Linked DNA regions of Caenorhabditis elegans. The protein of the gene in region 3 purifies or fractionates together with the protein of the main gene of each other region. This does not show direct contact. Each region holds a gene or a part of one and is shown on either strand. Other genes may lie near its edges. The genes, in order: gst-10, pgm-3, gst-42 and Y53F4B.39.

What was found.
Region 1: the proteins of gst-42 (region 3) and gst-10 fractionate together in Caenorhabditis elegans (co-fractionation; one large-scale study listed by BioGRID). This does not show direct contact.
Region 2: the proteins of gst-42 (region 3) and pgm-3 fractionate together in Caenorhabditis elegans (co-fractionation; one large-scale study listed by BioGRID). This does not show direct contact.
Region 4: the proteins of gst-42 (region 3) and Y53F4B.39 fractionate together in Caenorhabditis elegans (co-fractionation; one large-scale study listed by BioGRID). This does not show direct contact.

What each region holds. Positions count from the first base shown.
Region 1 is NC_003283.11:2,558,274-2,566,155, forward strand, and holds gst-10 (Glutathione S-transferase P 10), read left to right. Parts: upstream 1-3,416; 5' UTR 3,417-3,432; coding exon 3,433-3,469; intron 3,470-3,518; coding exon 3,519-3,713; intron 3,714-5,901; coding exon 5,902-6,302; 3' UTR 6,303-6,372; downstream 6,373-7,882. Other genes in the region: str-154 (Serpentine receptor class r-10), read right to left, coding at 1-7, 904-1,042, 1,093-1,224, 1,985-2,063, 2,133-2,226, 2,275-2,466; Y45G12C.1 (Nucleotid_trans domain-containing protein), read left to right, coding at 7,411-7,539, 7,587-7,718, 7,777-7,837. UniProt on the Caenorhabditis elegans protein: Conjugation of reduced glutathione to a wide number of exogenous and endogenous hydrophobic electrophiles. Responsible for approximately one-third of 4-hydroxy-2-nonenal conjugation.
Region 2 is NC_003282.8:8,722,761-8,730,208, reverse strand, and holds pgm-3 (Phosphoacetylglucosamine mutase), read right to left. Parts: upstream 4,488-7,448; 5' UTR 4,486-4,487; coding exon 4,389-4,485; intron 4,334-4,388; coding exon 4,140-4,333; intron 4,094-4,139; coding exon 3,747-4,093; intron 3,703-3,746; coding exon 3,354-3,702; intron 3,278-3,353; coding exon 3,039-3,277; intron 2,975-3,038; coding exon 2,666-2,974; intron 2,621-2,665; coding exon 2,503-2,620; 3' UTR 2,149-2,502; downstream 1-2,148. Other genes in the region: otub-3 (OTU domain-containing protein), read right to left, coding at 49-183, 771-1,085, 1,136-1,468, 1,522-1,731; F21D5.9 (C2H2-type domain-containing protein), read right to left, coding at 5,507-5,588, 5,639-5,934, 5,982-6,161.
Region 3 is NC_003284.9:11,724,312-11,730,913, forward strand, and holds gst-42 (putative maleylacetoacetate isomerase), read right to left. Parts: upstream 3,626-6,602; 5' UTR 3,486-3,625; coding exon 3,419-3,485; intron 3,369-3,418; coding exon 3,304-3,368; intron 3,260-3,303; coding exon 3,086-3,259; intron 2,995-3,085; coding exon 2,914-2,994; intron 2,865-2,913; coding exon 2,728-2,864; intron 2,304-2,727; coding exon 2,183-2,303; 3' UTR 1,953-2,182; downstream 1-1,952. Other genes in the region: D1053.2 (Histone-lysine N-methyltransferase, H3 lysine-79 specific), read left to right, coding at 3,840-4,194, 4,249-4,355, 4,430-4,432; D1053.3 (Ras family protein), read right to left, coding at 5,552-5,684, 6,080-6,234.
Region 4 is NC_003280.10:15,107,025-15,117,898, forward strand, and holds Y53F4B.39 (Beta-lactamase-like protein 2 homolog), read left to right. Parts: upstream 1-3,119; 5' UTR 3,120-3,127; coding exon 3,128-3,225; intron 3,226-5,143; coding exon 5,144-5,275; intron 5,276-5,329; coding exon 5,330-5,602; intron 5,603-8,353; coding exon 8,354-8,840; 3' UTR 8,841-9,295; downstream 9,296-10,874. Other genes in the region: wshc-4 (HEPN_LA2681 domain-containing protein), read left to right, coding at 127-656, 1,831-1,984.

The DNA.
Region 1 (7,882 bases), on a different chromosome or scaffold from region 3:
GAAATGCCTAAAAACCGTTGTCTACAGAAAGTGATATACAGTCCTGGCCAAAAATATATCCAATTTTCGATAAATTTACAAATTTTTCAAACGAGCACAACTTAAAAACTGGGCATGCTATCGAAAAAAGTTCAACTAATGAAGTATTGTCCATAATTACGTCTACTTGTATTCAATTGTTTAAATTGTTTACCAGTGCCATGACAAGAAATACAGCGGCCGACATCTCGTGAGCCCGTTTTTGACAACTTTTACTGATTCGGCCGTATCTAGAAAACTAATTTTTTCCTGGAAATGTTTTTGAAGTAAAATCATTTTCATACTACTTGTCATCATTTGTGTATATTACCTTTGTTCTAAAAATCCATAAAAAAAGTTATGAGAGATTAATATTGAATAGTGTACAACCACACATGGATCATTTCTCGCAAGTGATGAATTTTTTCCCTAAATCTTCATATCGTGTTTGAATATAGCTTAATTGTGATTAATTATCAAAAAATGATTGGTGCAGTGCCAAGTGAGCGTTTGCACTTCCATAACTTTTTTGCTGGATTTTTCAGAACAAAGTGAGTAAGCACAAATGATAACAAGTAGTATGCAGACTATTTTACTTCTAAAACATTTCCAGAAAAAAAAATTAGTTTTCGAGATACGGGCGAATCAGTAAAAGTTGTCAAAAACGGGCTCACGAGATGTCGGCCGCTGTATTTCTTGTCATGACACTGGTAAACAATTTAAACAGTTGAATACAAGTAGACGTAATTATGGACAATACTTCATTAGTTGAACTTTTTTTGATAGCATGCCCAGTTTTTAAGTTGTGTTTGTTTGAAAAATTTGTAAATTTATCGAAAATTGGATCTATTTTGGCCGGCACTGTATACTAAAGAAATATGTTACCATTGATATCGTAATTGCCAAATTTGCCATAATATCTTTTACTGTCAATCCCTGATTTTCAACGGTGGGCAACCAATACGGAAATGTACAATACAATATGCGATTAATATTCAAATCATACAAAGTTTCCAAACTCACTCTAAGGTAGCAAGTATTACGCTATACGTACATATTTTCAAATTAACTTACTTCAAACCGTCTGAAATTTCCTGACGAGAACCTATAGTATAAAACATTAGCCCTAATATGGCTCCACCAATAATGGACAGGAGAATCCAGAAAATAAGACGCCACCCTGAAAAGTATCGGAGGCGGCCTTCTCTGAAAAATATTGATTTACCATTCTTACACCCTAAAGTACTCCAAATCCGAATATTTATTAGAGCGCGCTTGCTACGCGTTTCTGCATCCGCCGTGTTTTGCCTTTCCACTGAAAATTGAAGATTTACCAAATTTTAAGCTTTAATAAATTTTTTCTGCATTTTACGAACAAACCTTTTGTTAAACAGTGAAAATCGTATTTAAAATGACTAAAATTAACTTTTTTCGTCCACTGGTTGAGAAATGGTTTGAAATTTAAAAAAAATCAACAGGATTTTTCTTATTTTCTAAATATTTTCCTATTGAAAATCGTTTTTAACACATTTTTGACTATAACTAGGATCGCAAATGTTTAGGGTCATTAATGTTTAAAACCCGATGTTTAATTGAAAAATATTTAGAAAATTAGAAAAATCCTGTTGATTTTTTTTTAACCTTTTCTCAACCAGTGGACGAAAAAATTTCATTTTAGTAATTTTAAATTCGATTTTCATTGTTTAACAAAAGGCTTGATCGTAAATGCAGAAAAAATTATTAAAGCTCAAAATTTGATAAATCTGAAAAATCTGCAATTTTCAGTGGAACGGCAAAACACCGCGGATGCAGAAACGCGAAACGTAGCAAGCGCGCTCTAATAATTATTCGATTTTGAGGAGAGCGTGCCCTAGTTTATTTGTTGATTTTCCTAGAATTTTCTATCAAAAGTAGAAGTGATGTTAATTGTATATGAAGCTTGAAAAATTGACTAATGATACAGTACCTTTGAACGGCAAAATAGCGATATATGAAGTTGATTGCTATAGCGTAAATACTTGTTCCAAAAAATGCCACTCCGGAAACTGAAAAAAATGATTAAAAAATCAAAATTGCTTCTTTTTAAATTTCAATTTAAAAGACAGTTCTCTCACCAACAGTGAACTTCAAGACATCTGGATGATTCTCTAGCATATTACTCTTCAAATCCACAAGAATAACTACAGTTGAGTCGTCATTAAACATGTACTGAAAGTAATCATTCAAAAAAAAAACGCTTCAACACTGACAACTTACGGGTGCTGCAACAAAATGAAATGCTGCATATGCAATTGACAAGCCTGAGCAGTATATCAGCAAATACTTGTAGCTTCCCATTTTCCGCGGTGAACTTGTAACTACAAGGGTAATCAGAATGAAATTTACCACAACAGACAGTACTGCGGCAATTGGCTGAGTTATTGATTTTATTAAGGAAAACGTTCTCATTTCCAAATGTGAAATTTAACCGGAGAAAGCCACGGAGCAAGTTATTTGGAGAAAGTGTTTCTGGAAGTTAGAAGTTATTTGAAATTTAAAAAAATAAAGAAAGCCGATTTGTTTCATATATATATAGAGTTTATAATTATAGTTTGCAATTTAGAAGAATGATTCATTTTATACTTCCTTGTTCCTTGTAATTGCAGTTTGTATATGATTCTCGTTTGATGTGTCGCAGGTGCTAAACTGCGTGTCTGGTTCTTCAAATTACACCTGCGACTGACCAAACGCAAATCATCTGTGTGATATCGACTTATAATATGCAGGGTGGTTTATCCGAAAATTTGGAGTATTAGAGCTTTGCGAGCCCAGAGGACAGGGAAACGTATTTTGTGCCAAGTATGACGATTTGGTCGAAAGAGCCCATCTGTGCATTGACCAGGAAACGGGCGGCGGCGAGGGCTCCAAAACAGGCTTCGCCCAGTTCCGACTCCTCTGAAGCGACTTCTTCAATTGTCTATAACAATGACACTGGACCACTCGAATTTATCGAAAGTACTTGATGGCCGAGATTTTTTGGTTGTGGAAGAGTTTTCTAGAACTGGTGACATAGAAATCTTTCATTTTTTCAATCAAAACTAATTTTTGATGAGTGATTTTAGATGCAAAACTAATAGAGGCGCCTTACTAATAGAGGATATACGGTATCCTATCCTATTTTCTCTATAATAGCGCTGCAAAAATAATGTTCCAATGCACCAATTAAAAACTAGTACTCAGTGTCCCCATTCAGGTTGTGTTTGTCAAAGTAAAATATTGTTTTCCCTCAATCTTTGATCGGTCTAGTTTCGTCGAAACACGCGTGTTTTTTTCTCTAAATCTCTTCATGCTTACCCATGTCTAATCTATGTTGATGACAATTCAAATTGGTATAAAAGTAGAGGCCATTAGACCTAAACGATAAGAGCTCGTACGATGGCCGTGCCACAACTTTACTACTTCACTATTCGAGGTAAGAAATTTTAAAGTTTTGCATTTTTGGAAAGCTCAATATTTTTCAGGATTCGGAGAATACATCCGTCTTCTGTTCCTCGACAATGGTATCAAATTCGAAGACATTCGGTTCGACTACGAGGGGAATGAATGGCAAGAGTTTAAAAAAGGAATGCTCCTTGGTCAGTTGCCATGCTTGAAGGTGGACGGGCAAGAGATTGTGCAGACTGGAGCAATTATGCGTCATTTGGGAAGAGTTCATGGTAAGGAGATTTGGCGGGAAATTCGAATTTTTTCAGGAAAGATTGTTGGCGGGATATTCAAATTTTCTCTGATAATATTTTGGGGGAAATTTCAATTTTTTCGGAAAACATTTAGTGGGAAATTCAAATTTTCACAACAGGAAGTATTTTTGGCGGGAAGTTAGAAAAATTTTCAGGTCAAATTTTTGAGGGAAATTCAATTATTCTGAGAAAAATATTTGGCGAAAATTTCAATTTTTTTCAGAAAACATTTCAAATTTTATAAGGATCAATTTTGGCGGGAAATTCAATATTTACGGAAAAAAAACAATTTAGCGGGATATTCAAATTTTTAGTACAAACAATTTCTGGCGGGGAACTCAAATTTTATGCAAAAAATTAGGCTAGAAATTCAACTTATCTCATAGTCAGAAAAAAAATAATTTTGCGGGAAATTCAAATTTTCTGAGATAAACATTTGGCAAAAATTTTATGTTTTTTAGAAAAAAAATTCCAGTTTATCGGGAAAACATTTGGCGAAAAATTTCAATTCTTTCAGAAAAAATACAATTTTGGCGGGATTATCTCTGAAAAATTTTAGCGCGGAATCCAAATATTTGAGGAAGATTTTCTTCAGTCAATTCAAATGTTCTGAAAAAAACTTTAAGCGGAAAAATACATTTTTCTTTAATTTTTTTTTTTCGTAATTTCAATTTTTCCAAAAAAAAAAAACTTTGCGACAAGAAATTCAAATTTTTGAGAAAGATTTTGGCGGGAACTTCAAATAATCTCATTGAAAACATTGGCGAGAAATTTTAGTTGATTCAGAAAATAATTTTGGTCGGAAATTACAATTTTCTGATAAAAATTTGGGCGGGAAATTAAAATTTTTCTATTTATATCATATATATATCAGGTTGTCCCATAAGTTTTTGTACTATTTTTTTTTTGAAAAAAATTTATTTCTCTCAAGCGACAAGTAGTACTATTCACACAAGTATTCACCATTAGTGTCCACCACTTGTTGCCATTTACTAGGTAACATCATGATGCCACGGGAGAAGAAATCCGGCGAACGCGATGAGAAGAAAGTGGAGAGTTCAGTTTTGAGATGCTCTTCGTCGTCGAATTGCTTGTCGCGCATGTAGTCACTGAGAGACAAGAACAAATGGTAGTCGGTTGGTGCAAGATCTGGAGAATATGGTGGATGCGGTAAAACAGTCCAACCAAGATCTTGCAGCTTCTGGAAAGTCTTCTTGGCGACATGAGGCCTAGCATTATCGTGAAGAAAATATAGTTTTTCATATTTTCCGTTGGTCTTTTCTGCAACTCGGTCCAATTGGGCACAATAGTAATCAGCAGTGATAGTTTTATTAGTTGGCAACAATTCCCAGTGCACGGGTCCTTGAACACCCCACCAGACACAGATCATAATCTTTTTTGGGTGAAGATCAGGCTTTGGCGTCGGTATTCCTTTCTCACCGATCGGAAGCCATTGACGTTTTCTGGAATGGTTAACATAGAGCACCCACTTCTCATCTCCAGTAACCAGATTGTTCAGCCAATCGAACTTTCGACGAAAAGTTAGAAGTTGAGTACAAACGTTGACCCGAGTGAGCTTCTGTGATGCCGAAAGTTCATGAGGCACCCAAATTCCAAGTTTTGAAGTAAAACCAAGGCGACCCAAGTGACGTGCAATTGTGCTATGACAACACTCAAGCTTCTCTTCCATTTCACGAAGACTAAGACGAGGCTCTTCCTCCACCAGCTTCACTAGGTCTTCTTCATTTAACTCTACCGGTCGCCCAGAACGTTCTATTTCTTCGAGACTGAAGTCGCCGTTCTTGAACTTTTGAAACCAACTCTTTGCTGTATTATAAGAGAGTGCTCCCTCACCCATCGCACCGCATATGTTTCGTTCCGCTTCCATTGCTGAATGACCAAGACGAAATTCATAAAGAAGAAGCAATCTAACGTCTCGACGTTCAAGTTTGATGATTGTCATCGTGGCAAAGTAGAAATGGATGAAATGAATTTTTTCTGAAAGGGGAAGACCCGACCTTGACACGACCTACGATGAAAAAATTTTTAAACTTTCTAGAAGTTTTGGAAAAATATTTGAAAAAAAGTACAAAAACTTATGGGACAACCTGATATATATAGTGTATTATGACGTCACAGATCTATTTTATGTAATTAAAAATTTCAGGCTTGAACGGATCCAACGAGCAAGAGGCAACCTTCCTCGACATGTTCTTCGAGGGAGTCCGCGATGTTCGTATGAAATACGTCCGTTACATTTACTACGACGAGGGAACCCGCGAGGATTGTGTCAACAAAACCATCCCGGAGGCTCTAGTGAAGTTGGAAGAGCTTTTCAAAGCTCATTCCGGAGACTTCATCATTGGAAACAAGATTAGTTATGCGGACTATATTCTCTTCGAGGAGTTGGACGTCTACCACGTTTTGGATGCGAATATCCTAGACAAATTCCCAACTCTGAAGTCGTTCTGGGAAAGAATGTGGAAGAGACCGAATTTGAACGCGTATCTCGAAAAGAGAAAGGCCGACAAAGTCTGGATCAACGCGATTGAGAAGGGAATGAACTGATTGCTTTAAAAATGCAAATGTTTTTTTTTTCGAATCTATGTTGACAAATAAATGGATATTATTTTAAAAAGCAACTTACGGGAGTAGCTTTTGTGAATTTTTTGCCCTATATATGAGAAAAAAATCTTCAAAAATTTATGGCGTTTTTCAAAAACTTTTATGCTTTTTTTTTCAATTTTCCAGACAATTAGAAAGGGCCAAGCTCTGGATATATTTTTATTTTTGTTTCTCAGTTTGGAGTTTTTGTCGTAGAGGCTCAAAATTAATGCAGTTCGAAAATTTATTTTTGAGAAGGCATTTTAATTTGCTCACCTGAATTAACAGTTTTTTGCAAAAAATTTTTTTTGGAATTTTGGTAGAATTCTTATCGGGTGCGGTAGATAATTTTTTTTAATACTATGGGTACGTTTCTGGGTCTAGAAATTCGATTTTGGCAACGCTACAGTCATATGCCTGTAAAAAATGAATTGGAAACCAAAACCCCTCTAGCGCGGCCAAAATCGAATATCTAGACCCAGAAACGTACCCATAATAATTAAAAAAAAATTATCTACCGCACCCGATAAGAATTCTACCAAAATTCCAAAATTTTTCTAGTTACCGAATCCGAAATCTAGTTAGTACCTGTTGAAATTGAATTCAAAGTAAAAACCCCTCTAGCGAGGCTGAAATTTAATTTCCAGGTCCAAAAACGTACCCATAATATTTAAAAAATTGCCTATTCAACGGCATATCAATTCTGCCAAAATTCCTAATTTTTTTCACCACTATTTTTTCCACAGGCACATACCCATTAAAATTGAATTCGAAATAAAAACCCCTCTAGCGCAGCAAAATCCTTGACTGAAGACTAAAGACTTGTTAACTAGATTTTTGTTCCGGTTTTAAAACAAAAAAGGAAGTGTCTTTTCACACCGGGCTCGACAAAATATGTTTAGCCGTGCTCAATAATTCAGAATGTATGTGGGTAGGACGAACTTTTCTGTCTCTTTTGGGATAGCGAAGTGTCGTTATTTTTGTTTCAAAAAGTTCTCAGAAACATTTTATTTCCGATTTTTTGAACCTTGTTTCAATCTAATTTGAGTGATTACATCACCAAAACTTAATAATGATGATCACAAAACGAATGATAAAAATCACATTTCTTATCAATGACACAATGAAGGCAAAGACTGTGCTCTCCTACGCCACATTCAGTTTCATAGCGCTGCTTTTGTTTTGCTATAAAACTAATAAAGTAAGTTTAAAATACAAATTTCAACATTTTCAAGTTTTTTTTTTCAGACAACTTATATCAAAAATCCTAAATTCAAAATTTTGGAAGCTTCAACGCCTGCGCTTCCAATTGATAAAGAATGCGAATGTATCTCAAGTTGGACTGGGAAATCTTATGATTTTTGTTATAGAAATCCAAAGGTTTTAAATAATGGAATTTTACATTTAAAAATTTAAAAATTAAAAAAAAGGATTTCAGAATGCTACACTTGTTGGAAAACGGTTCAATTGCACTTGGTTGAGCACTTTGGAGGATTTAAGTGAGTTTCCATGGCTCAGCGGAACTGTAGAAATACTGTAGGATT
Region 2 (7,448 bases), on a different chromosome or scaffold from region 3:
ACATAAAAAAAAACAATTGAGATTATCAAAACAATTTAATCAAACTAATCAATACGGGCACGTAGAATTGTAGTGTTCTCCAAGCGAGTAAGCATGTCGAAGGAAGACAACTCGGAGGGCTCGATCCTTTGGACTCGAGTATTCCTCGCCAATTGTGTGACGGCCACCGTATTGTTTGTAGACCTGAAAAATCAATTATTTTCAATATTACCTCTGAATTTTGTTTCTTTTAATACTTTCTCAGTAACAAGACAACTGATATGTCAAAAATTGTGCTCTTTTCCTAAAAAAGACTACCATTTGACACTTCGCCAATTAATTAAGACTCAAAGAGCATAAAAATAACAGAAAGTCACGTGACGTCTGATAAAAAAGTTTTTGCAATCTATTTTTGATAGCGAACTCTGATGACAAAATTTGGACAAATCATGCAAAAAATTGGGACTACCCGAACCATAAGTGATAAGAACTGGACGTGATGGTTTTCACGTATGTCAGATTAGTCATTGGGTAAACGCCTTAAAACACTGGAAGGTCACTTATAAAACGGTATCTAAAAGTTTCCAGAATTATCGTAGTTTCGAAATTTCCTGAAATAAGTACTTCAATGATTTCTTGTCTGATCGTATGCGCAAGGGTCTGTTTTCAATCAAAGTACTGAAAATCTACAAAAATCAATAAAAACGTATAAATTTCTGAAAATAGTGGCGAAATTATTATACCTAGTAACATGATTCTCTATATTTTTTTCAAATTAACAAAATTCTCACCACAATAGTCTTCTCAAAAATCATGGAACACGCCTTCAACTCGAGTTCTCCACCCCATACTCCACCAATTTCAGCGACATTTTCAACTCCACCGAGATATGTTGCCCATGAAGAATCACTATCCATATTTGCCATATCCTCAATGAAAGGCCGAAAATCTTCGCTGTGCTCACGCATATAAGTACCACATCTCTTGCGAAGTTTTCGTACAGAAATCTCGATTCCTTCTTCTTGAAGTTGATGAGAAATTGCATTGTACATACAATCACCATCTGCTGGAATATCGATCATTTTCATGTGATCTTCTGCGAGCATCTGGAAATGATTGTGAAATCGAAGCTTTAAAAATGTGTATTTCAACGTACCTCTTTAACAGCTGCTTTCTCCATTTGTCTATCCGAAAGTTGATTTTTTCCCGCTTCCTTATCGGCTGCTTCGGCAGCCTTCATTTTGTCAGCGGTTTTCTTTTTTTTATCTTGTTTTTTTGCAGCTTTGTTTGAAATCTTCACAGTTTTGTAGAATGCCGACGACGATGGTCCTTCTCCATCATTATCCGATCCTTCTGGATTTGGTGAAGGTGGTGATAATGTAGAAGCTTCTGGATTTTCAGCAGGAACGGCTTCCGATTCTTCTGGCTTCTTTGCTTCTTCGAGCTCCTTTTTGTGACGTTCATCCATTTCTTTTTCCATTTTCTCGCACTGAAACAAGACATATATTCGGCATTTTTTTAATAGTTTTATATCAAACCAACCTCAGCACCGGCCTCTTTTTGCATTTGCTTATTCCCGCATTTTGCCGCCTTCTTCTTTGCCAATATTTTTCCTGGAAGTTGTTTTAATCGATCGAGTGGTGACGTGGATTTCGACTGGCGTGATTTTGGTGATGATTCCCTCTTTTTAGTGGGAGTATGTTCATCATCCGGGGCCAAATAGGTTCTGTTTCGTTTTGGTGTGCCCGACATAATGAATAATGGGAATTTGTAGAAAAATGCGAAGAAGTAAGTGAAAGACTACGGAACTGGTTGATTGAAAACTATCAAGAACATTTAAAAAACATCCGCATAGTTTTCAGTATTGGCGGGTAGATCAAAAAAAATGTTTGGTTGTACATTTCAAGTCTACTTGAAATATTTTTCTCTTTTAATGTCAAAATTACCTCTCAACTCTTTCTTTTCACGCCGATGCCGTGCTAGGATCGGATTTTCTTCATCCTGCTCACCATCCGACGACATTTTTAAATCGATTGAAAATTTGTTTTGCGGTCTTAAAATTAGGAAAATGTTTCCATGGAAATTTCCACAAACGAAAATTTCATAACGAAAGTACAAAAGAAATTGTAGACTTCTTATTGAACAACGAGCTAGAATACCCATGATTTTATATCGAAACATTCATTTTTACTCAAGATGAAGTCTCAAAACGAGAATCTTCAATTCGTCATCACTCTGTTATCTAGTTATCACAATTTTTCAATATATTTTAAAGCATAGGGGAAAGGGCCAATGATGTGTTTTAATGAAACCAGGAATTTACTTTAAAACCGTTGAAAGTTGATATAGGGAAATGGGGAAACCAGTAGAAACTCATAAATGAATTTTAACAAATAAATATGGGAATATGAAAGGGAAAAATTTAAAAAAAACTTTGGGAGATTATGCTGAAAATGACTAAACTGAAGGGATGAATAAAAATACATTGTGAAAACTCGAGACTACATATGGAATTTATTTTCTTCAGTTCGAGTTGCAAAGGTTGAGAACGACTTGTTCGAGAGATTTTCCGAGTTGCAATGTATTTTCAACAGTATCCGCTTCAGCGTATACGCGAACAATGTTCTCGGTGCCAGATGGTCTGAAATCGATTTGAATATGAAACAAAAACTTCAGATAAGATTACCTGATGAAAGCTCTCGAATTATTGTACTTTGCAACATCCGTATCAATCATTTTTTGAATTCCAACAGGTTTCACAAGAGTTTGCTCGGCGTTCGTCGTTTTGAAAATGGAACGATCAATAACTGGAACTTTGATCTGCACATTCGGAACATCTCGATACAGTTTTTCGGCCCAGTCATCCATAGACCATCCATAGTGACGGAGAACAGCTTCCACGGCAAGCAAATCTGCAAAAGCATCCCCAACAGTTTCATTGATGACACGGGAGAAAAGTGCTAGACGACGGAGAGGTAATGATTCAGTTGGAGTTCTGAAACAATTCATTTCTATATTTGAAAAAAAAGAAATTTATGAAGCTGTTTAGTCTCCTATACCTTCTGATGATGCGGTCGAAAATCTCGCTGAAAACAACAGTTCCGTGTCCGTTGGCCTCGAAATAAATTCCAATGTCGAACTCAGAAGCAGCTTCATGCAGATGCTTGACTCCAGTAGGTACAATAATTGGCTCAATACCCAACTTTTCACGAATGTAGCGTGTTGAACTTCCATTCGCATATGCTGTTTGAACAATACCAAGGCGGAGACGTTCCATCGGAGTGGAATTTTCGTAATCCTAGAATGATGCATCATTGAAAACTTCACACTCAGTTTATTCATAATTTGATAACTATTATTTTGAAATAAATCACCTTCAGTTGCTCCCGAATGTATGTGACAATCAGAACTGCAATTTTGTCACCGTCGAACAGCTCAGCATCGTTTGATTCCGAATTTTCTGAAGCCTTTGCACGGAAGTACATCAAGCGATCGGCATCTCCATCAAATGAAGCACATTTTGGTTCTGCTGCTGTCGGTGAGAAGTTTGCTGGTAACTTTTGCGAAATCTTAACGAAATCGGCACCACATCCCTGATTCAGTTCTTCCGATTCATTACGAAATTCAACTTCCAGAAGTGATGATGGGATTCGCTCAAGAAGATTTCTGAACCGTGGAGCACCGACTCCGTTTGCGCAATCGACAATGACTTTTGGTTGATATCTGAAGAATACTTTTTTAATGGCAAGTTTTTCTCTGAACCGTACCTCGAGTCTTTGGGTTCCTCAGTTATTTCATACAGCTTCTTGAACGAATCGGCGATTGCAGAATAATATCCATCGTGAGTTGGCTCTGCGAATTTTGGCTCGTTGAATGCCTTGACAGCATAATGAAGCATTGGAGTCGACACAACACCGATATCATCGAATTGTACATTGAATAACGCTGCACCGGCTCTTGCTGCATTCATCAGACAAGGACCAGAGCAACGTGTGTCCATACCACAAACGACACGGGAAAGTTGGGTCTTTCCGACTGAAATTTGTTTTTCAAGAGCTCGAACTGCGGCTGGGAGCTCGGCATCAGTAGCATTCACAACTTCAGTCGCGTATATCTGTAGAAAAAAGGTTTCTGTGCGTTTTTTATTTATTTTCACTAACCTCCCACTGCTCATTGAGCATATCGCCACTTGGATCCACTAATTTCACACCATTGTCACATGATGGATTGTGTGAAGCTGTAATCATCACTCCGATAGCTGAGTTGAGCTGCCGCGCACGAAGACTCGCAACGTAAGCACACCGGAAGACGATGAATGGAAGCTTCTCGGACTTGAATCGGAATCCAGCAGTTCCTGAAATAGCAAACTTTGAAAATGATAAAAGAAAATATTTTATTTTTAGTCGTACCATACGAGAATTTCTCATCGTCTTGAATGGCATGCACATTACCGCTGTGAGTTGTGTTACCGGCACGTGAATATTCAACTGGAACAGTGAGATCCATTTCTGAAAAAAATTTGGATTTCGAATTTTAAATACGTAGAGAAATAAGTCGACAGAACCAATAAAATGTATTAAATCAGATGAATCTAAACTACATGTTGATTTACGGCGCTAAACAACGCCCAAGACGTTATTTCGGAGCGTTGTGCGGAAAAGAGTTCTAAACGCGTTTTTCCTTTCCCACCAGAAAGTAAAAACGTTAAATAAACGAGTATATTGATCATAACAGGGCGTGTTAATGAAAAATGATGATGAAGTAATAAACGTTCAACTGATAACAAGCGGAAACAAAAGGTATGATTATATTCACACTGAGACCAGAAACAATGTTTTGAAAAAAGAACATGGAATTGAAAAATGTCGGTGCTGTATGTGTTTTATTTTCTCATGGAAAATGTTTAACAGGACGCGGGAAACAAAGATCAAACTTGTAGATCGTAATTTATGATTCAGATTAAGAAAGTTTCGCTAAATACTAAAATAGTTTTCTAGTATAGTTTTATTACTCTTTTGAATAATTTTTAGAGCTGAACGGAATATATGGTGTTTCTTTAAAAAGTATAATTAGGAAAAAAAATGAACTAACATTTCGATGGTACGGTTTCCAGGCGCGCACTGTTGCGTGAGTTCCGGGTCTCACAGCGATCATGAGCACTGTAGAAATTTTCAGGCCTATTCATGATTGAGGCCTTATTGTGGCTGAAAACTCATTTTTGTTAGAAAAAAATTCAGTTGGAATCATCCGTCCACTAAAATTATTTTTTCTAGAATTATTCCTTTCTCGATGAAAATTGTTCGAAGAACAGCATTGGTCTACCACATCTTGTAAAAAATTGGAAAAAAAAGTATATCAATAAGATTTTTCATTGAAAAGAGGAAATTCTAGGAAAAAAATTATTGCAAGAAAGAGAAAAGACAGAAAAAGAGAAATCACTGGAAAAACGTTTTGAGACAAATAATAAATATTAAGTAGCTAAATAATAAAATTCTCGGAGAAAAAAAAGGAAAAGTTATTTTGTTTCTTATTGACGAAGATCCGATTTTCTCTTGAACTTGCTCTTTCGATGATTGTTACGCATATGTTGTACTAAGTCACCAGTCAGTCTGAAATCAAGAAAATTGGATTCCAGAACCAAGAGCTTTGTAGTATTTACCTGAAAACTGCTCCACATACAGCACAACAATTTTCATTAACCAAAGAACTGCCAAGAGCATTAGCCACAAGTGGATTGTTCATTGTAGAAGGTACAGTAACCCCAGAGCTTGATGACGTGGAAGAGGAGGAACTGGTTGATGTGGTTGCACGGGGTTGCTGGACACGTGGAAGAGGTACAGTAATCGGTGCTGGTGAAGCATGGCATAATGTGGAAATGAATTGGCGGCGTGCAAACTCTTCCATTTGACGTTGTTGTTGAAGGCGAATCATTAGGGGTGCAAGTTGAAGATAATTCTGAAAAATATTATTTGTGCATTTGGTACAGTACTTGGATATATTACTTGAAAAACTTGGGGAAACTGAATTTGTGCAGTCTTGGAAGTGCAATCAAGAGGTGTCTCGTCTGGAGATTCTTCATCTTGAGTCTGTAGGTTTGTTCCAGGATCTTCCCGGTTTTCAGACACTTCTGAAACTGCGGGATTCCAGATTCGAAACTTTTTTGCCATTGGACCATCTGCCATTCTTAGTTGAAAAAATGACGTTGCAATCCTAAAACAGGAATTTCAAAAAACATTTCTTAGGTATTTAAAATATTTCGAATGGAAAAGCACCTAGAATTCACAAAAAATACAGATTTCTAAACTAAATTAAACTTCAGGAAGATGATTGAGAATTACAGTAATTCATTAGTAGACAGATTGTTAGTACCGCCTGTTGACATCAATCTGATTGAAGACGATGAGAAAGATAGGAAAGGAAAGATTGAATGAAATGCAACGGAAATGTGTTAAAATTAACATAAAACTGCATCAATGTGTTCTACGGTAATCTTTATGTTGTTTTCTGTGTTTGAGTTGATCAGTATCAAGTGAAAAGAATCCGCTATGTTCCAAATCATTAATGCATACCCGTTAATACCGTATATTGTTAAAATCCTAATAATCAATCCCTGATATCCCGAAATTGTTGTATACACTATACATAATAAAAACTGAACCAATGTACAAAAAAGATCGGCCTCTGCATGTAAAAATTCTACAAAATCTCCTCAAAACCTTTCACAATCTTATTTATCGTCATCAGGTGCCTAACGACTCCGCCCCTTTCCCCCGTATTTTCCCAAATAATATTATTCTGTTATTCCCCGTATTTTCGCAAGTTACTACGGTAGTTTGATGAATATTTATAAAGTTTGGAAGATGGGGAGTAGGTATTTTGAATATCATTGGACGTAGAAGAAGATGATAATTAGGCACCACACCTCACATCCACAGACTCCTGAGAATATGTATGTGGAAGGTAATGAATATGAGCAGTTGGTGTATATGAACATTATTATTATTATTGAGTATTGAAAGTTATGAATAGTTTGATAGAATATATTGGTGTAATGATTTTTTGTTACATAGCAAAATTGATGGGATTTCCGACAATGCGAAATCGTTGAAAATTATAATAATGAAAATTATATATAGACATGTCGAAAAAAAGATACCCATAAGGTGACACAGTTGCGTAATACCGTTTATGTGACTGCGACACCTTATTTTCAAGCTTCTTAGTCAACCTTAATCCTACCCTTCACCATCTGTCATTTCTTTTCATATAATGTTTCCCAATCCTTTTGACAGTCTTAAAAGGTTTACGTAACCGACATGAACAACATGTTCAATTGAGTGAACAGACGGTTGGATGGACAGGATTAGGTTAAGGATACGGAAGTGTCTTGCACCTGCCTAGAAGAGGTGACGAGAAGAGGTGAAGAAATGAAGATGCCGATGAAACGAAACCAGATTTTGAAAAAGAAA
Region 3 (6,602 bases):
GAAAAACAGAAGAAAAAATCATAATATCCACATCTTAAAAGTGTTTCAAAAACATTATAACTCCGTGAAGGTTTTGTAATAAATCTCAAATATTTGTTTGACAGTATTTTTTTCAAAAAAAAAGAACTCTGCCATATATGAATGATAAGAACTAAAGCAAGCTTATCACTTCTACATATTAATTCTAAAATAAGTTTTTTTAACTTCAAAATATTCAAGCAGTTTGTTAACAGTCATAACACTGAAAAAATTAGGTTACTCAAAAAAATTGGAAAAAATAAAACGTTAGTAAACTTTTGTTTCTAATATTTCAATTTTTACTTTTTAAAACATCAAAATAGTGTTTTTAAATACTTTCAATTCACAAATGGAAAAAATCGTCAATTGCAAAATTCCGAATGTAAGTTGAAATTGAAGTGAGTAATAGTTTTAATAGAAAACACAGCATATTGCAAGAAAAATCGAGAAACAGTGGACATTGCATTGACTGACCTGTACCATGTCGAACCTCTTTCTCAGACTAAGTCTCTGCTATATTTGTATGAGTGGTAGTCTTCCGAAAGCTTATTAGATCGACTGCGCAGGAGGACGGGAACCTTTATGTTTGTTCAAAGAGTCACTTAAGAAAAGACTGCAGAAAATGAGGAAAGGTGAGCGAAAATGGAAGAATGATGAGAAATTGAGACGAGAAGGAGGTCAACTGAGTTCGTATGGTGTATCTTGACAACGAAATTTTAGAGCATTAAAAATCAAAAATGTACTGTGAATATAAAGGTATGTACTGAGAATATCTAATTTACTCAATTAAACATGTAAAAATTGAAACAATTGATGTGCTTACAAGTACCCTAAAATTCAAAGTTAAAATAATACCAAAAATTAGAAGAAAAACTTTTAAGTAATATTTGAATCATTTCAAATAAAAAGTGTATTGGATGAGAAAAAAAAACTGCAAAAAAAATTGTTGATAACAAAAGTGAGTTAATTGCAAAACGGGACAAGATGTTTTTTCCAAAACCAGGCAGCAGCAATATATCATCAACAGTTTCTCAACAAAACCGATTCTCAATAATGTTAACTTTTCACTTCAAACCAACGTCATTTTTATTTCACACTATGAGAAAAGTATGAATCATAAGTATTGTCCAGCAATTGAAAAAGAGAGAAGTATTGCACACTTGAAATTTATTGTACAAATAATTTGTAACTTCACTTGACAAAATGATTCCAAAATAATTTGATGTTCAAATCAATAAATGTGTTGTGTTTTCTTTTATATATAGCATTTTTATCAGTGCAGGCGTAACTTAAAAATGCCTTGACAACGGGAGGTATACACTTTGACAAAGTTGTCAAACATCACCCTTTATTAAACCTAATTCGTCACTCTTTTCCTCTTGATTCTGGTTGCATAAAGACAAAAAAAGCAGAAAAGGAGCTGCGAAGAGCGAGCCAGAGATAGAGAAAATGAGAAAAGTTGGAAATTGAACTTTGCAGACCACACTGACAAAGAAAAGAGGGGGAGAATGCGGGAGGAGAAGAGTGAAAAAAACGGATACTTTGATGAATCGAAAGGCCGGCTTGTGTTGTGGGTGGCAACCAACTAGTACTATGACTATGCCAACCTCGCCCGTAAAAACACGTTCTCTTTGCACGGAAGTCTTCCGAAAGTTCTCTAAAAGTTTCCATGACACAACATTGCCGATTGGGTTTTCAGATGCTAATCCCCAGGGATTGAGTTTGGTCATGAAGAGGAGGACAAAAAAATGACTTTTGGAGGCTTCCGGTCTGCAACTGTTTAACTTGAATTTCGAAACATACTTCTAAATAGGTAAACATCAAAAATTCTGTCTTCAAAGCAGGACATTTTTTTTGAACGCAAAAAAGTTATCAGTGGAACTCGCATACTAAAAAATTTTCCATTGGATATTTCGTTTGAATAAAGTTCAAAATATTTTTAAGAAATTAATTTATTTGAAAAAAAAACACTCAGTATGAAAACGAGAAAAGTTAGTTTACAAAGTTAAAAAAAGCAACTTGCTTTAGGATATCGCGGACATTTTCTGTTGTAAATTTATTATTACTTTTGTGCTAATTTAAGAGACAAAGAAACATTTTTTTTTAATTCTCAAATAGTTAACTCTTGTATGTCCAATCCAATAACGCAATCATTCATAAGAATCTAAGCATTGAGTCCGGTATCTGGTTGATTATCAGGATGAGCGGCAATAAAGGCGGGGATATCAGCAAGAGTCTCATTGATACGATTCACTGTTGGGTATGGCGACAAATCGAGGTTGAATCTGAAATGACGGTTTGATTGCGATCGGAACGATTTGGAAGGGAGGTTATTCTGATGGTTATCTGTGAATCTCTCATGTCTCATCCTAAACGCTCATCGCTTCCAATTCATGTTTGTTGAATGACTAATACATTTTGTTTGAATCAGGAATCCGATAAAAAGGTTGTTGCCACACAAGTGGATGTTGTTTTCAATAGGAATGTGTTTTCGTTTAAATCACTTGCTAAGATGATTCAGTAACTGTCTATGAAAAATTGGTCAGTGTTGTTTGAGGGTAACCCAAAAGGTGTTCAAATTTTCGAGGTTTTGAATACGCAAAATGTCAAACTAATACATTGAAATTCTGGATAGATTACTAAAACATAATAAATTTTCTCAAAAAGTTATCTATGTCCAAAATTCCCTGACCCTCCCTATAATCATACCGGTTAGCTGAGTAGATAAGTGGCGGGATGGAGAGATCCGCAATCGTGACGTCATCTCCGACAGCATACTTCCCAGAATGTTGCTTTAGAAGAATTTCAAGAGCAGTGAGACCTTCGACAACAAACTGTTTGGCAAACTGAAATTTTAAAAATTGAAAACATACATTGAAGATTCTGAAATTAAACCTGTCCTCCGAATCCTGCTTCTTTTTTATTCAAAAGTTGAAGAACCTTCAAATTGTGAAGAGGTTGAATTCCAGAAGCAACCTGTAAACCTCAAAACATAATTGTTACAGTTTTTGTAAAACAATAGCAGTATAAAGTTAAGAAAAAAACCAACTAAATACGTAAAACTTACCAAAAGAGAAATAGCTCTAGCGTGAGCTCTCTTGATTGGATCTTTTGGCAAAAGTGGAACGTCTGGATGCGTTTCTTCCAAATACTCAATAATCGCAAGACTTTCAGTAATTACTTGACCATCCACAACAAATGTTGGTACTTTTGCAGCTGGGTTGATTTCTTTCAGTTTGCTCTAAATTTTAAAATAATTTAAAGAACCGCTTGATTTTCTCTTACCTTAGCCTCTTCGGACAGCAAGTCGACAGTTTTGTATTCGTAGTCCACGTTTTTCAAAGCAAGCGCTGAAAATAACATTTTTGCTAGTTAAAATTGATATAATTAAAATACCAACCGATGCGAACTCTCCATGAGCACGATGATCTCCAATAAGAATACAGAACTGGCTTTTGGTTGGACATGTCTACAAGCAGAAAATAATTTTGTAAATTCTCAGAAAGAATAACTGATGATAATGACTAGTTGAAAAATAAACAAAAAGGGTCAAAGACGGAATGATGTCGAACTAACTGATAAGATTGGACGGTGTATGTCGACGAAATGGTTTTGTTGTTGTATATTGCAGACGCAGAACACTAGAGATAGTGTAATTGTGCAGACACACGTGGTCTTCTACTATACATTACCAACATCATATGTAGACCAAGAGAGAAATGCAGATTCAAAAAACATTAGAAGGAATAAGAAGAAGTAGACAAAACTATGGTAAGCCTTGGGCGATGCCTTGAGAGAACAAGCAGCCCACGACTTTTTTTATGAGGCTGCTCCCAACTCTTGCCCAAGCTGTACCCAAGTCATTTTTTCAAAGACAATATAAAAATACACAGTGCACTTTGATGTGCTTAAATGAAATTGAGAGCATCCAGGAACTATTTTTCAATTTAAACGACGTTGAGACACGTTCATTAAAAGCATATCTGGTGGATCGTATTAATGAGATCCAGACCCAAGCCACGGTGATTGTGGTGAACAACGTTCGTTTTTCGCCGGAGCTCAAGTTGGAGCTGAAAGAGATCTTGTCGAAATGCATTGACGGAACGCGGATCATTTCATCAGAGTCGATTGTTCCACGTCCCCGTTCTCAAAGCTCGACTTCTCGTCGTATCGATGGTAAGTTGAAACTAGGTGTTAGGTACATCAAAATACTAATTATATCTTTTTCAGATTTTGTGAAAATCACGGACGAGCGTCTTCTTCATCTTGTGGAAAACAATACGTCTTGGACTGGTGACAAAGTTCCGTTTTATCTCACTGAGATCAACCGCAATAAGGTAAGTTCGTGAATATGAGAAATATTTGCGGTTATGGGTTAAAATCAGAACTAATATTAATTAACTTTTTACAGTGATCGTCGACGCCCTTTCTTCTTCCCAACTCCTCTCTCATCAACGTGTCTTCGTGCTCGGGTCAACTTCTGATTTTCCGGTGTATTTTCTATTTAAGATCTCCCCTTCACTCCCTATAGATCTTTCATCTCCTTTGTTTTCCCCTCAGTCTCTTCTCAGTGCGTCAATGTAGCACGTTTATGATTTAAAAAACCAACTTCTTGCAATCTGTACTATCACTCAAGTTGGTCCAATAAATTGTTGTTTTTAAATCAACCGTCCTATTTATAAAACGTTTCAAAATGTCCTTCCATGTTAGTCTGTCCGTTCTCTGCTGTCCTCGCAAGTCTCTGAATCCCTCGTCGTTGTGATCCTAAAATCCGTCATCGATTTGTCCATTGAGTATTCTCAAAAAAGTTCCCATCAACGACATTTCTATTTCTGACCTGAATCAGTCGAAACGCAAGAGAGGTAAAGATCAGTCGACTAGGGATTGGGATGAAGCTGGTTCTAAAAACTGGTCTTTTGATAATCTGTCATTTTTCAGTGATCAATCCTATGTCATCCGTCTGGCTGCTTCAACAATGTCTACGCTGTAACTTCACAGTATACAACAAACTCTTGAAAAAAGTATGTTCCATTAGGTTATTCATTAGTTGGTATTGAGCTTTTCTTCTAATTGGACTGTAAAGTAATATGCAAAAAGTGATTAATGGATTTTTTTAGTCTTGTAAAATATTAATACAGTGAACTACCGCGCAAAATTTTACACATTTCAAGCATCGAAATGCTATTTTCAAATTGTTTTTGAATCCCTCTTTTAGTTAAGATTTCATCCAAAAATGTAATAGTGGAGAAAATGTTTATTTACAAATTATTTATTCCAATCTCAAAAATTAATAAAACACAAATACACAAACTACTGTTATAAAATCCAATTATCATCAATATCACAAGTTCACTGGAAACATACATTTCAAAATTACCGGGAGGTTCGGGGAGCTGACTAGAACTGAAAAGTTCACCAAGAAAAGAAACATTAAAATTTAAGTACAGTTGTGTTTCAGTAATTTTTCCATAATACGAAACAATGCATTATCTATTCCCATTTGAGATCAAACGACATTCCATATTTCCTCACATTACATTATGATGCACACTTTTGAATCTTCAACTTTCTCTCCTTTTTCTTTTTTACCATTTTTCTTTTTCTCATTCACTGCCTCGAATATCATATTCTCTCCCGATTTGTCGGATGATTTCGATCGTAGAATGCTGCAAAAAAAAATGAATTTTGGTGTTTACCAGCTTGTTCGCAGAAGTGAACAATATTTTTTGTTAAGTTTTCGTGACCATCTTCAAGTACTTGTTTGTTCTTAATTGTAAACTTGTTCAGTAAAAATTAAGAAATTCCAGGGGCCTTTAATATCAATTAAGTTAGAACAAAACATCAAGTAGCTCCGTTAATATTGATATTAGTATTATTTATGAATATAAAGGCAAACTTTCTGCCTATTTTTGAGAATATTTTGGCATATATTGAAAGTTTCTTACAATATTTTCTTGTTTAGAAAACTAAATTTTGACTTCCTGGCAAAAACTTTGAGCAGCTTTAAAAAATGTTTGCAAAAATTTCTCGGATAAGTTTGAGAGTTATTTAAAATACTTGCCTTGCAATTTTAGACATTCTCCGATTTCGCGTGGGACCAGATTTGTTGATGGACATAATCATTTGTGTTAATACTTTCTTTGCATCTGAAGAGCTACTGGAACTTATTTGCATAAATGAACACCGACTTCCAAGTTCCTGCGCCAGTTGTTCGCCCTGAAATTGAATATCAGCAGTTATAATAAACAATAAGTGCATTTATCTTGTCCTAGGGCATTGGACATTTTAACATAAGACTGCTCGCGACTATAAAATTTGATTGGATTTTTCACAAGTTTCTATTATAGGAAAAAATTTGATATCAAACTTTAAAAGCATATATTTTTTGCGGTGCTTCAAGTTTAGAGTAATCACGAGCGGTGAATAACCGCGATACGAGTCCACATAAATATGACCCACCCTATAAATTTCAATTTTCAGTTGGAATTTTTTTTGTTCATTAAATTCATATTTTTAAAAATACTGTATGCTTTTCTCTATCATAGCTCCAGAGACTATAATCACTTTATTGTGGCAAGTGCCAA
Region 4 (10,874 bases), on a different chromosome or scaffold from region 3:
AAAATTAATATAAAATCAGGGAAATTTTTTTGAATTTTTTCACATCGATATTCGGCATCAGGGGCAAAATTAGAGTCAGAAACATATATTTCCCCACAAACTCTACTCCCCCTTTAAAACTTGCAGATCGGCAACGCGATCTCCCTAGTCCGAATGTTGTGCCAAGCGGCCCGCGAGAACGGCCTAACCCGTCAGGATCTATTCCCCCAAGTGAAAAAATACATGGACGACCTGGAATCCAATACCCGATCACTGATCTTCACGAATCGCCCCGACTGCCCAATTAACTCTACAAAAATGCACGCGGCGTATCGGCTCGGTTTGGTTAAAGAAATGTTCGAACGAGTCGCCGAGCATCGGAATTACACTAAAATGATGTGTGTCGAATTTAAAAGTCTTTTGATGAGATCGAAACTTCCTGAGGATCGAGTTCAAGTATTGGACTACTTCCATGGAATTATTCCAGCACTTACCTTATCTCATATTAATTATATGATGGCTCATGAGAATCGAGTGAAGAAAACGTATGCTCTGAAGCATAATAAGGATCTTGTCGTTACTGATGATGGTTTTGCGGCTGGTGTCGCGTTTTTGTTGCATATTTTTGATGGATGGGATTCGTTTTTCAAGTTGAACTGGTTTGATAGCTATGCTATGTGCGTTTTAAATTAATTTAATTATTTTGAAAAAAAAAAAAAAAAAAAACGTCTAAAATTTTGGAAAAAAATTAAAAATTATTAAATCGTTTTCAACTGAAAATTTCAAAAAAGTTAAAAAATTTATAAGTCCAGTCAAATTGGCAAATTGCCGGAATTGAACAGTTCCGGCAAATTGGCAATATTTAAAAATTTGCCGGTTTTAAATTCCGGCAATTAAAGATTTCTGGAATTGAAAATTTCCGGCAAATTATCGGAAAATTGTCCGATTGGAAATTTCTGGCAAATCAGCGAAACGGCATTTGGCGAAAATGAAATTTACCGGCAAATTTTTCGGGAAAAAACGGAAATTTCCGGCAAATCGGCAAAGTGCCGAAATTGAAACTTTTCGGTAAATCGCCAAAGTGCCGGAATTTATAATTTCCGTCAAATCATCGGCAAAATGCCGGAATTTATAATTTCCGGCAAATCGGCAAATTGCCGAAATTAAGAATTTCCGGCAAATAAGCAAATTGCCGGAATTTATAATTTCCGGCAAATAAGCAAATTGCCGGAATTTATCATTTCCGGCAAATCATAGGCAAACTGCCGGATTTGAAAATTTGCCGATTTTAAATTCCGGAGATTAAAGATTTCTGACAAATTTTCCAAATTGCCGAAATCGATTTCCGGAAAATCGAAAATTTGCCGAATTTTTTTCAGACAAATTTCTTAAAATCCCAGTTTTTTTTTTTAATTTTCGAGAAAAAAGCCTGAAATTGTATGAAATTTATTTTTTCTTACAATTAGAAAAATTTTAAAATAAGTTTTTTAACGAAAAAGCTTAAAAATTCTGTAAATCTTATAAAAGCACAGTTTTTTGTTGAAATTTTCAAAATTTTAAAATTCTGAAAAAAAATTTCTTAATATTTTGAACAGGAAATCTGGAAAATCTGAAGTTCTAAAAAAATTTACAAATTATTTTTTCGCCAATTTTCAAAAATTGCAATTTATACTTACTTTTCTTGGTAAAACCAATATTAAATTGCGGGAAGAAATGAGCTTTATAAAAAATTCCGAATTTCTCTCAAATTAGTAAAAATTCCAACAAAAAATGTTTTTTTGAAATTTTTGAAAACATTTTTTCAAAAATATTTTTTTTTTTAAATTCTCAATTCTACCTTCCTATTTTCAGCACAAAAGAGCACGAAATTCGTTCACAATCGGAAAGCCGCGAGTACAGTCAGGCAGTACAGTTGAAAATCGAACGACTTCAGACGGAGCTCAAAATTCTCACAAATTTCAAAATGAATTTCGGCATTCAGCACACCATTTTCACGATGAATTAGGTCAAACTACAGTATCCCCCCCCCCCCCCTCACAAATCGTTGCGGGACCCACATTTTTGCTCAAAATTTCATTTTTCTACCGTCTAACACTTGACTTTTTTTCCCCATAATACCGATTTGTTCGTTTCTGTTGTTATCAAATGCTACAGTCTAGCCACATTTTCTCATTTTACTCCCCTTATATTTGTAAAATTGTTTAGTTTGTTTTTTTTTCGCCTGGAAATCGATTTTTTTGCGAATAGTTGAAAAATTTTGGAAAATTTAGAAAAATTCAGAAATTTTAGTTTTTAGTAATTTTTTTAAAAACTTTTTCAGTCAAAAATACTGAAATTTCCGGAATTTCAAAAAAAAATTATAGAAAAGTTTCTTAAAATTATAGCGTTTTGTTGAAATTCCCGATAAAATTGGTAAATCCTGGAAATTCTAAAAATTAAATTTTTTATCCAAAAAATTCAGCTAAACAGAAAATTGTTTGAACTTTTTAATTAAAAATTCCCGATTTTACAGAAAAAGTCAAAAATTTTGAAAAATCGTGAAAATTCTAAAAATTCGATTTTTTTATCGAACATTTTTTTGAGAATCCCAAAAAAACTGAAAAAAATAAAAATTTTAATTAAAAATTTCAGATTTTAGCGAAAATTCTCAAAAATTTTGGAAAAATAGAAAAAATTTCAACTTTTTGATTAAAACTCCCAGATTTTTGCAAAAATTCTCAAAATTTTGGAAAAAAAACTGAATTTTTTCTCCAAAAAATCCTATTTTTGTTAAAATTCTCGAAATTTTTCGGAAAAATCCTAAAATTTCCAATTTTTATCCAAATTTCCATAAAAATCGATTTCCAGCGACTTTTTATCATTACCTAGTTTTTAGTTTTTTTTTGTTTTGAATATTTTTTTCTTTTTTTTCCTCAGCTCCCAATTTTTAAAAACTATTTTAATTTAATATCGTCAATCCTCTCCTGTCACCATTGTTAATGTTTTTTTTTGAAATTTTAATTAAATTTCTACCATTTTTAATCCATTTTTCTCTATCCGATCGATTTTCCATGAAAATTGGTCCTAAAACGACCTAATGACCTATATTTCTGAATCACCCAGAGGCGGGGGCGGAAACATAGATGAGTATCTCGTAATTCAGAACACGATGACGGCGTACGTTGGACGAGCCTGGACGATGCTTCGTTTTTATACGGATTTCGCATACGCCGGTGTTGCCTATTTGGTTAATTCAAAGGCACATAGGTTGGTTTGTAATTCGGGGTCTTGGCGCGAAAGTTTTTTTTTTCAAAATTTCGGCTTTTTGTGTCGATTTACGAGCTTTTCCAGGCTTTCTCGACGATTTTTTTTTTGAATTTTCATAATTTCGGTTTTGTGCCGATTTACGAGAATGACAAAGAAAATTAGGAATTTCAGCTCTTTGTGTAGTTTTACTAGCTCATTAATTCTTTGGTAAATTTTGCCTCTTTGTGTCGATGTACGAGCTTTTTCAGGATTTTTCCACGAATTTTTTTTTGATCTTTTTCCTGAATTTTCGAAATTTCGGTTTTCTGTCGATTTACGAGAATAGTAGAAAATTAGAAATTCCGGCTTTTTGTGTCGATTTACGAGCTTGTGTTCAGTTATTTTTTAAATTCAAGTCAAAATTTCGGATGCCAGTGTAGATTTACGAGCTCATTTTTTGGTGAATTCTGACTGCTTGTGTCGATTTACGAGGTTTTTTCTGACTTTTAGAAATTGTTGTGTTAATTGATAATATTTTTAAATTATTCAATTTTTAAATAAATAATTTAATTCCTAAATTCTGAAAAAAACCAGTGCTCGTAAATCGACACAGAGATGCGTAAATCTACAATGCCATGATTAAAAAAAAACTATTTTCCAGGATGTATGATATTGTTTCTCATGAATCTGAGAAAAATTGAAAAAAAATTCCGCTCGTAAATCGACATCCAGCTGCGTAAACCTACAATGATACCAAAATTTGTTCCCTAATAAAGACATTTTTTTTTCTGAATTTTCTCTGAATTTTTTAAGAAGACTACTTTTTTTTGAATATTTATTAGTTTTAGGGGGCTTTAAAAAATTTTTAACAAACATTGTAAATTGCCGATTTGCCGGAAATTTTCAATTCCGGCAATTTGCCGGTTTGCCGGAAATTTTCAATTCCGGCAATATACTGATTTGCCGGAAAATTTCAATTCCCGCAATTTGCCGATTTGCCGGAAATTTTCAATTCCGGCAATTTGCCTTTTTGCCGGAAATTTTCAATTCTGGCAATATACTGATTTGCCGGAAAATTTCAATTCCCGCAATTTGCCGATTTGCCGGAAATTTTCAATTCCGGCAATTTGCCTTTTTGCCGGAAATTTTCAATTCTGGCAATTTGCCGGTTTGCCGGAAATTTTCAATTCCCGCAATTTGCCGATTTGCCAGAAATTGCATTGTACTATACAATTGCATTATCAATACATTCTGACTTATCGCCCAAGTCACAAAATTGCAAAATTCCATTGGCTGACACCTAGAAATTGGCAAACATCATCATTTAAGTGTAGCCAACTGACTACAGTGTTCCGAAAATAAGGGAAATTTAGAAAGAGAGAGAGAGATAGACGAAACAAGTCACAGAACGATTATCGATCACTTTTCAGTTGGTTTTCTTTAATTCTTCATAGTTTCCCATTTGAAACAATGTCTCGAAATTCAGTAATTTTTCCGGAAAAAAAGTTAAATCAAATTGGTTGTAAAGTTTTGTATTATTTAAAAAAATTGTGCATTTATTAACAATCAGAACCTGTAAAAGTTGGCAAAAATTGAAAAAAAAGTCTCCGTAAATCGACAGCTAGCTGCGTAAAACAACACTGATTGGAGTAGATTTAGACTAGATTATGACTAGATTTAGGAATTAAAGAATTAAATTATTTAAAATATATCGAAATAACCGAAACTAAAACTGAAATCTATTGCGCAACATAATTGACGCGCAAAATATCTCGTTGCGAAAACTACAGTATCTCTTTAACTGACTAATGTAGCGCTGGTTTTGATTTTCGGGCAATTGCAGTTTCGAATTTACTCTGCAAAAAAAATCACAAATTTTGCATAAAGCACTACACTTTTTTCAAAACTTCTCTGAAAATCTCGAAATTCTTTTTTTCAGAGCCATGCCAAGCCTCACTCACGTGGAGCCCATCGAGAAGCTCTCCGACGCGGTCACCAGAATTCTCGGCCACAATCCCGGCCCCTTCACTCTTCAAGGAACTAATACATATCTACTGGGCACTGGTGCAAAGTAGGCAGCAATATTCTGAAAATTTTTAATTTCTAATCAAATTTTTTCTTTCAGAAAAATCCTCGTGGACACTGGTGAGCCGAACGTCACCGAGTACATTTCGGCACTGAAATCAGTTCTCGCATCTACGAATTCCCACATTGAATATATCGTTATTACGCATTGGCATGGCGATCATGTTGGTGGAATCGATAATATTACTGATGAGATTTTGGATAAAAAGAAGATACCTATTTATAAAATGAAACGGGACAAGGATGAGGGTGTCGAGAGATTTCATTATGTTGACGATGGGTTTGAGGTTGCAGTTGATGGAGCCACGCTGAAGTGAGCATTTATCATTAGAGAATTGGTTTTATTAGAAAAAAACCGTAGTAGTACTGTAGGGATACTGTAGTTCCGCTGTAGGTGCACTGTAGGTATGTACTGTAGCATTAAGGAGGACTAACGGTTCGGACGATTTTGACCGTATAGACCCAAAATGAGCTCAAATGAACGAATTTCGTAATGAAACTGCTCAAAACAATTTTCAAAAATTTTTTATGGCGTTTCAAAATTTTGAAAAAATTGAAAAAATGAATTATCGTCCTTTATTACATATATTGGTAATTAATCTCATTTAATTTCGTCGATTAAGGTACATTTAAAGCCGTTAGGTAACCAAAAATCATCGAAATTGGTTACCTATCGGCTTTAAATGTACTTTAATCCACGAAATTAAATGAGATTAATTGCCAATATATGCAATAAAGGACGATAATTCCAAAAAATCCAACTTCGGACAGATGTGACACGAAAAAATGGGAAAAACTCATGATTTTAGGTAAAATCAGTGTAATTTTTTCAAAATTTTGAACCGCCATAAAAAATGTTTGAAAATTGTTTTGAGCAGTTTCATTACGAAATTCGTTCATTTGAGCTCAATTTGGGTCTATACGTTCAAAATCGTTCGAACCGTTAGTCCTCCTTTAGTAGTACTATAGTGATAGTGTAGGGTTACTGTAGGTATATTATAGGAGTACTGTAATAGTGCCGTAGGGGCACTCTAGTAGTACTATATGGGTAGTGAAGGAGTTTTGTAGAGGTACTGTAGGTATATTTCGGTTGTACTGTAGTAGTATTATAGGGTTACTGTAGGAGTACTTCAGGGGTACTGTAGTGATATTGGGAGGGGTGGGTACTGAAGTAGTGATATTGGGGTACTGTAGTAGTACTGTATTTCTAGAAACAAATTAATTGTGTCTTTTTAAATGAGTAGTGTTGTAGGGGGTACTGCTAGAAATCGATTTTTTGTTGTGAAAATTTGGAAAAAATTGGAATTTTCTGAAATTTCAAATTAAATGCAATTTCAGTTACCATCTGTTATTTTTAAGAATTTTTGATTTTAAATTCCTTTGAAATTTTCTATATTATTTTTTTTTCCGGGACGATTTTTTAAATTCCTAATTTTTGTCGAAAATCTCCGAAAATAATAAGGAAAAAACCTTAACAATTAATGTTCCTCAAAAAATACCTTGAAATCTCAGTTTTTTGTTGAAATTCTCAAAAAAAAAAAGGATCCATATTTTTTTTCAAAAAGGAATTTATGAATACAAAATTTTTTGAACGTTTGTTCCAAAAAAATGTGTTAGTACAGTAGTGCCGTAATGGTAGCAATACTGTAGTAGTAGTAGTACTGTAGGGGTAATGTAGGGACATTGTAGTAGTATTATAGGGGTACTGTAGTGGTACTACGGAGGTACTGTAGAAGTTCCGAAGGTGTGCTGCATTAGTACTGTAGGGGTACAGTAGTACAGTAGTACTGTAAGTGTACTGGTACTATAGCTATTTTGTACGTGTACTGTAGGTATATTGTAGTTGCACTATAGTATTATTATAGGGGGTACTGTAGTGGTATTGTACAAGGCTGGGATTTTTTTTTGAATTTTTTTGCCATTGTAACGAAAAATTGATTTTTTTGTTTGTTTTTTTAAGACCGAAAAACCAAAAAAAAATGCATTTTTCACGGTAAAAAAATTAATTCAAGTATCAAATTTTTTGTTGGTTTTTTTTTGATTTTTCCCAAATTTCAATTTTTCTTGGTCCAAAATCAAAACGAAACACTTATTGTTTTTTGATCCCAGCCCTGAAACTGTGGTATTAACTGTAGTAGCATAGCTCTTTTTCAAAAAAATTGAATTGCCATGAGAAATTTTTTTTTGGAAATTTCAAGATATATCAATTTAGCCTTTCTTCGAGTTATTTTAAAAGTGGTGTAGTCGAATTTTTTTAAATTTCTTTATTGGACTCAAAATTGTCTGAAAACACCGAATTTCATAATGAAACTTCTTGAAAACTTTTCAAAAAAAAGTTATGGCCTCTTGAAAAATGGCCTAAAATTAGTGAAAATTTGAAATTTGACCGACTTATCATTGTCGCAGCGGCTGGAAACAATTTTTTTTTGAAATTGTCGTCTAATTTTGGGTATACAGGTCGATTATCTTGCATTTTCAGCTTTATTAAGGTATTTGAAAGTCGATGGACGAAGAGAATTGATGAAAAAAATTTGACAAATCTCTTCGTCCATCGACTTTCAAATACCTTAATAAAGCTGAAAACGCAAGATAATCGACCTGTATAGCCAAAATTAGACGACAATTTCAAAAAAAAATTGTTTCCAGCCGCTGCGACAATGATAAGTCGGTCAAATTTCAAATTTTCACTAATTTTAGGCCATTTTTCAAGAGGCCATAACTTTTTTTTGAAAAGTTTTCAAGAAGTTTCATTATGAAATTCGGTGTTTTCAGACAATTTTGAGTCCAATAAAGAAATTAAAAAAAATTCGACTACACCACCTTTAAAATAACTCGAAGAAAGGCTAAATTGATATATCTTGAAATTTCCAAAAAAAAATTTCTCATGGCAATTCAATTTTTTGAAAAAGAGCTATGCTACTACAGTTAATACCACAGTTTCAGGGCTGGGATCAAAAAACAAAAATTCGGTGTTTTCAGACAATTTTGAGTCCAATAAAGAAATTAAAAAAAATTCGACTACACCACCTTTAAGCTAGTCCATCTTTAAACATTAAATTTCCAGACTAATCGCCACTCCAGGCCACACCGCCGATCACTTCTCTCTGTGGCTCCAAGAGGAACGAGCATTGTTCAGTGGAGACTGCATCCTCGGCGAGGGAACTACCGTCTTCGAGGATCTTCATGACTATATGACTTCACTGCAAAAGATCAAGGATCTCAATGCGACAAGGATTTATCCGGGTCATGGTCCGGTTATCGATAAGGTCGTGGAGAAGGTTGACGAGTACATCGAGCACCGAATGAAACGAGAACGCGAGATTATCAAAGTGCTCAAAGAGCACGAGGAGATCACCAGTATGGATGTGACTAATCAGGTTTATGCTGACTCGCCGTGGGCTGTACGACTGGCTGCGTTGAACAATGTGAAGCTCGTGCTGAAGAAGCTTTGCAAGGATGGAGTCGTTGAGAATCCGCATTTTGAGACTTTCAAGTGGATTGGAGGCAGTAGTAGTGGAGAGGAGAAGAAGAATGAATCGTCGAATTTGTAGAAAAAAAAAATTATTTTTTGGAATTTTAAATATTTAATTCGCTCTTTATGTGTTTTCAAAATGTAGAATTTACGATGTTAATTCGAACTTTTCATAGATTAAATTTAAGTTTTAACCTACCTATATTTGAGAATTCCAAAAAATCTCGAAAATATTCATTTTTTAAATTCGAAAACCATATTTTTTCGAATTAAAAAATTCAAACTTCTGGAAAAAATTTGAAATTTTTAATTTTTTTTGTTTGATTTTTCAAAAAATTTCCGGAAAATTAATTTCAGTACCAATTTTTTCAAAATTTCGAGTATTTTTCGAATATCTCGAAGCGGATTTCGAATTTTGAAAATTAAGGAAATAATTTTTTTTATCTCCAAAATTTCCAAAAATTCAACCTTTTTTATCAAGGTTTCCCGTGTGTATAGGATACAATAGATATATAATAAATATTTTATTGTCAATCTGTTTTGCCTAATTTGTATATTTGGCCCACCAAACGGGTAATTCATACATGCTGAATTTAATAATAGAAATTTAGAAAATCAATCAAAAACTATTAAAAAGTGGCAAAAATGGCCAATTTATGGCAAAAAATCACAATTTGAAACTCCTCTAAAATGGTTATTTTTAAAGTTAGAGGACTCAAAATTGATTTGCATACACAACAAAATTTCCCTTTTTCAATTTTCAAAGGTTTCGAACGTTTTCAGAGAAAATTTTTTTTTTGCCCAAAAAAAAAGGCAAACACTCATTGACTACCTTCTCTTTGACTACCTTTGCTCATTGACTACCTTTTGCTCATTGACTACCTTTCGGCTCATTGACTACCTTCAGTTGCTCATTGACTACCTTTATCTAATTTTTCAGAATTTTCAGTTTTTTTCGCTAAAAAATCAGAATTTTCAAAAACATGTTACTTTTTGATGTCTAAGAAGGTCGTGCACTTTCTCATTTCCTGAAATTCCGGAAAAAATGGAGATGAGATCTGATGTATAAATGCTCATTGACTACCTTCAAATGCTCTTTGACTACCTCTATCTAATAAAATTTTCCAAAATTTATTTTTTTGAAAATTTTTCAAAATTTGATCAGATATTATAGAAAAGTGCAATTTTTGTCGTTTTTCTAGTTTGGATGTTCTGCACACTATTGCAGACGAAAACCTGAGGTAAAGTAGAACCCCTAAGCTCAAAAAACGCACTCACTTCGGATGCTGATATCTCCGTGGGAAAATTTTTAAGACAAAGTAATAAACTACAAAGTTGTATATCTTAATCTAAAGTACAAGGTAGTCAATGATATGAGGTAGTCAATGAGCAAAGGTAGTCAAGGCTGGGAGTGTGTTTAGAAGTGACCTTTGCAGTCCTCAATACCATTAGAGAAAAAGTAAAAGTCAATTTTCCTCACGTTATTAAAAATAAGAAAAAAAAAAAAGAAAAAAAAAACAATTTCTATCCCAATTCTTTTCAAAACTACAGTTTCGGCTCGATATACCAATGAAAGAGCACAGTGTAAACTTATTTTCAAAGTTCTCACGGCGACTCCAATCACTCTACATCAATATAAAACTGAAATTTTAAAAAGGAACCCCAAATGAAAGACAGCGTATGAATTTCACTAAAATACCAACCGATGACTAGTGATTTCGATCCCAATTCTTTTTAAAACTACAGTTTCGGCTCGATATATCAATGAAAGAGCACAGTGTAAACTAATTTTCAAAGTTCTGATGGCATCACCAACCATCAAATTACATCAATGTCAACACATCAAAATACAACGGAACATTTGAAGACTAGAAGGCCACTCGAATGAGTGTTGAGTGGGCCTCGAGAACCACCATCGGATAACACCTCGAGCGCAATCAACGGTTGGATTGTCCTGCTCTTGTCGACGAAGGACATACAAACGGAAAACCACAGTAAGTTTGCCAGAAGGATCATAAACAGTTCACAAGTCAATAGTATTCTAGGACCTTCCCCCGAATTAGCAGAAAAATAAAAAGAGTTGCCCAGGAACACATGAGTGAAATTGCCCAGA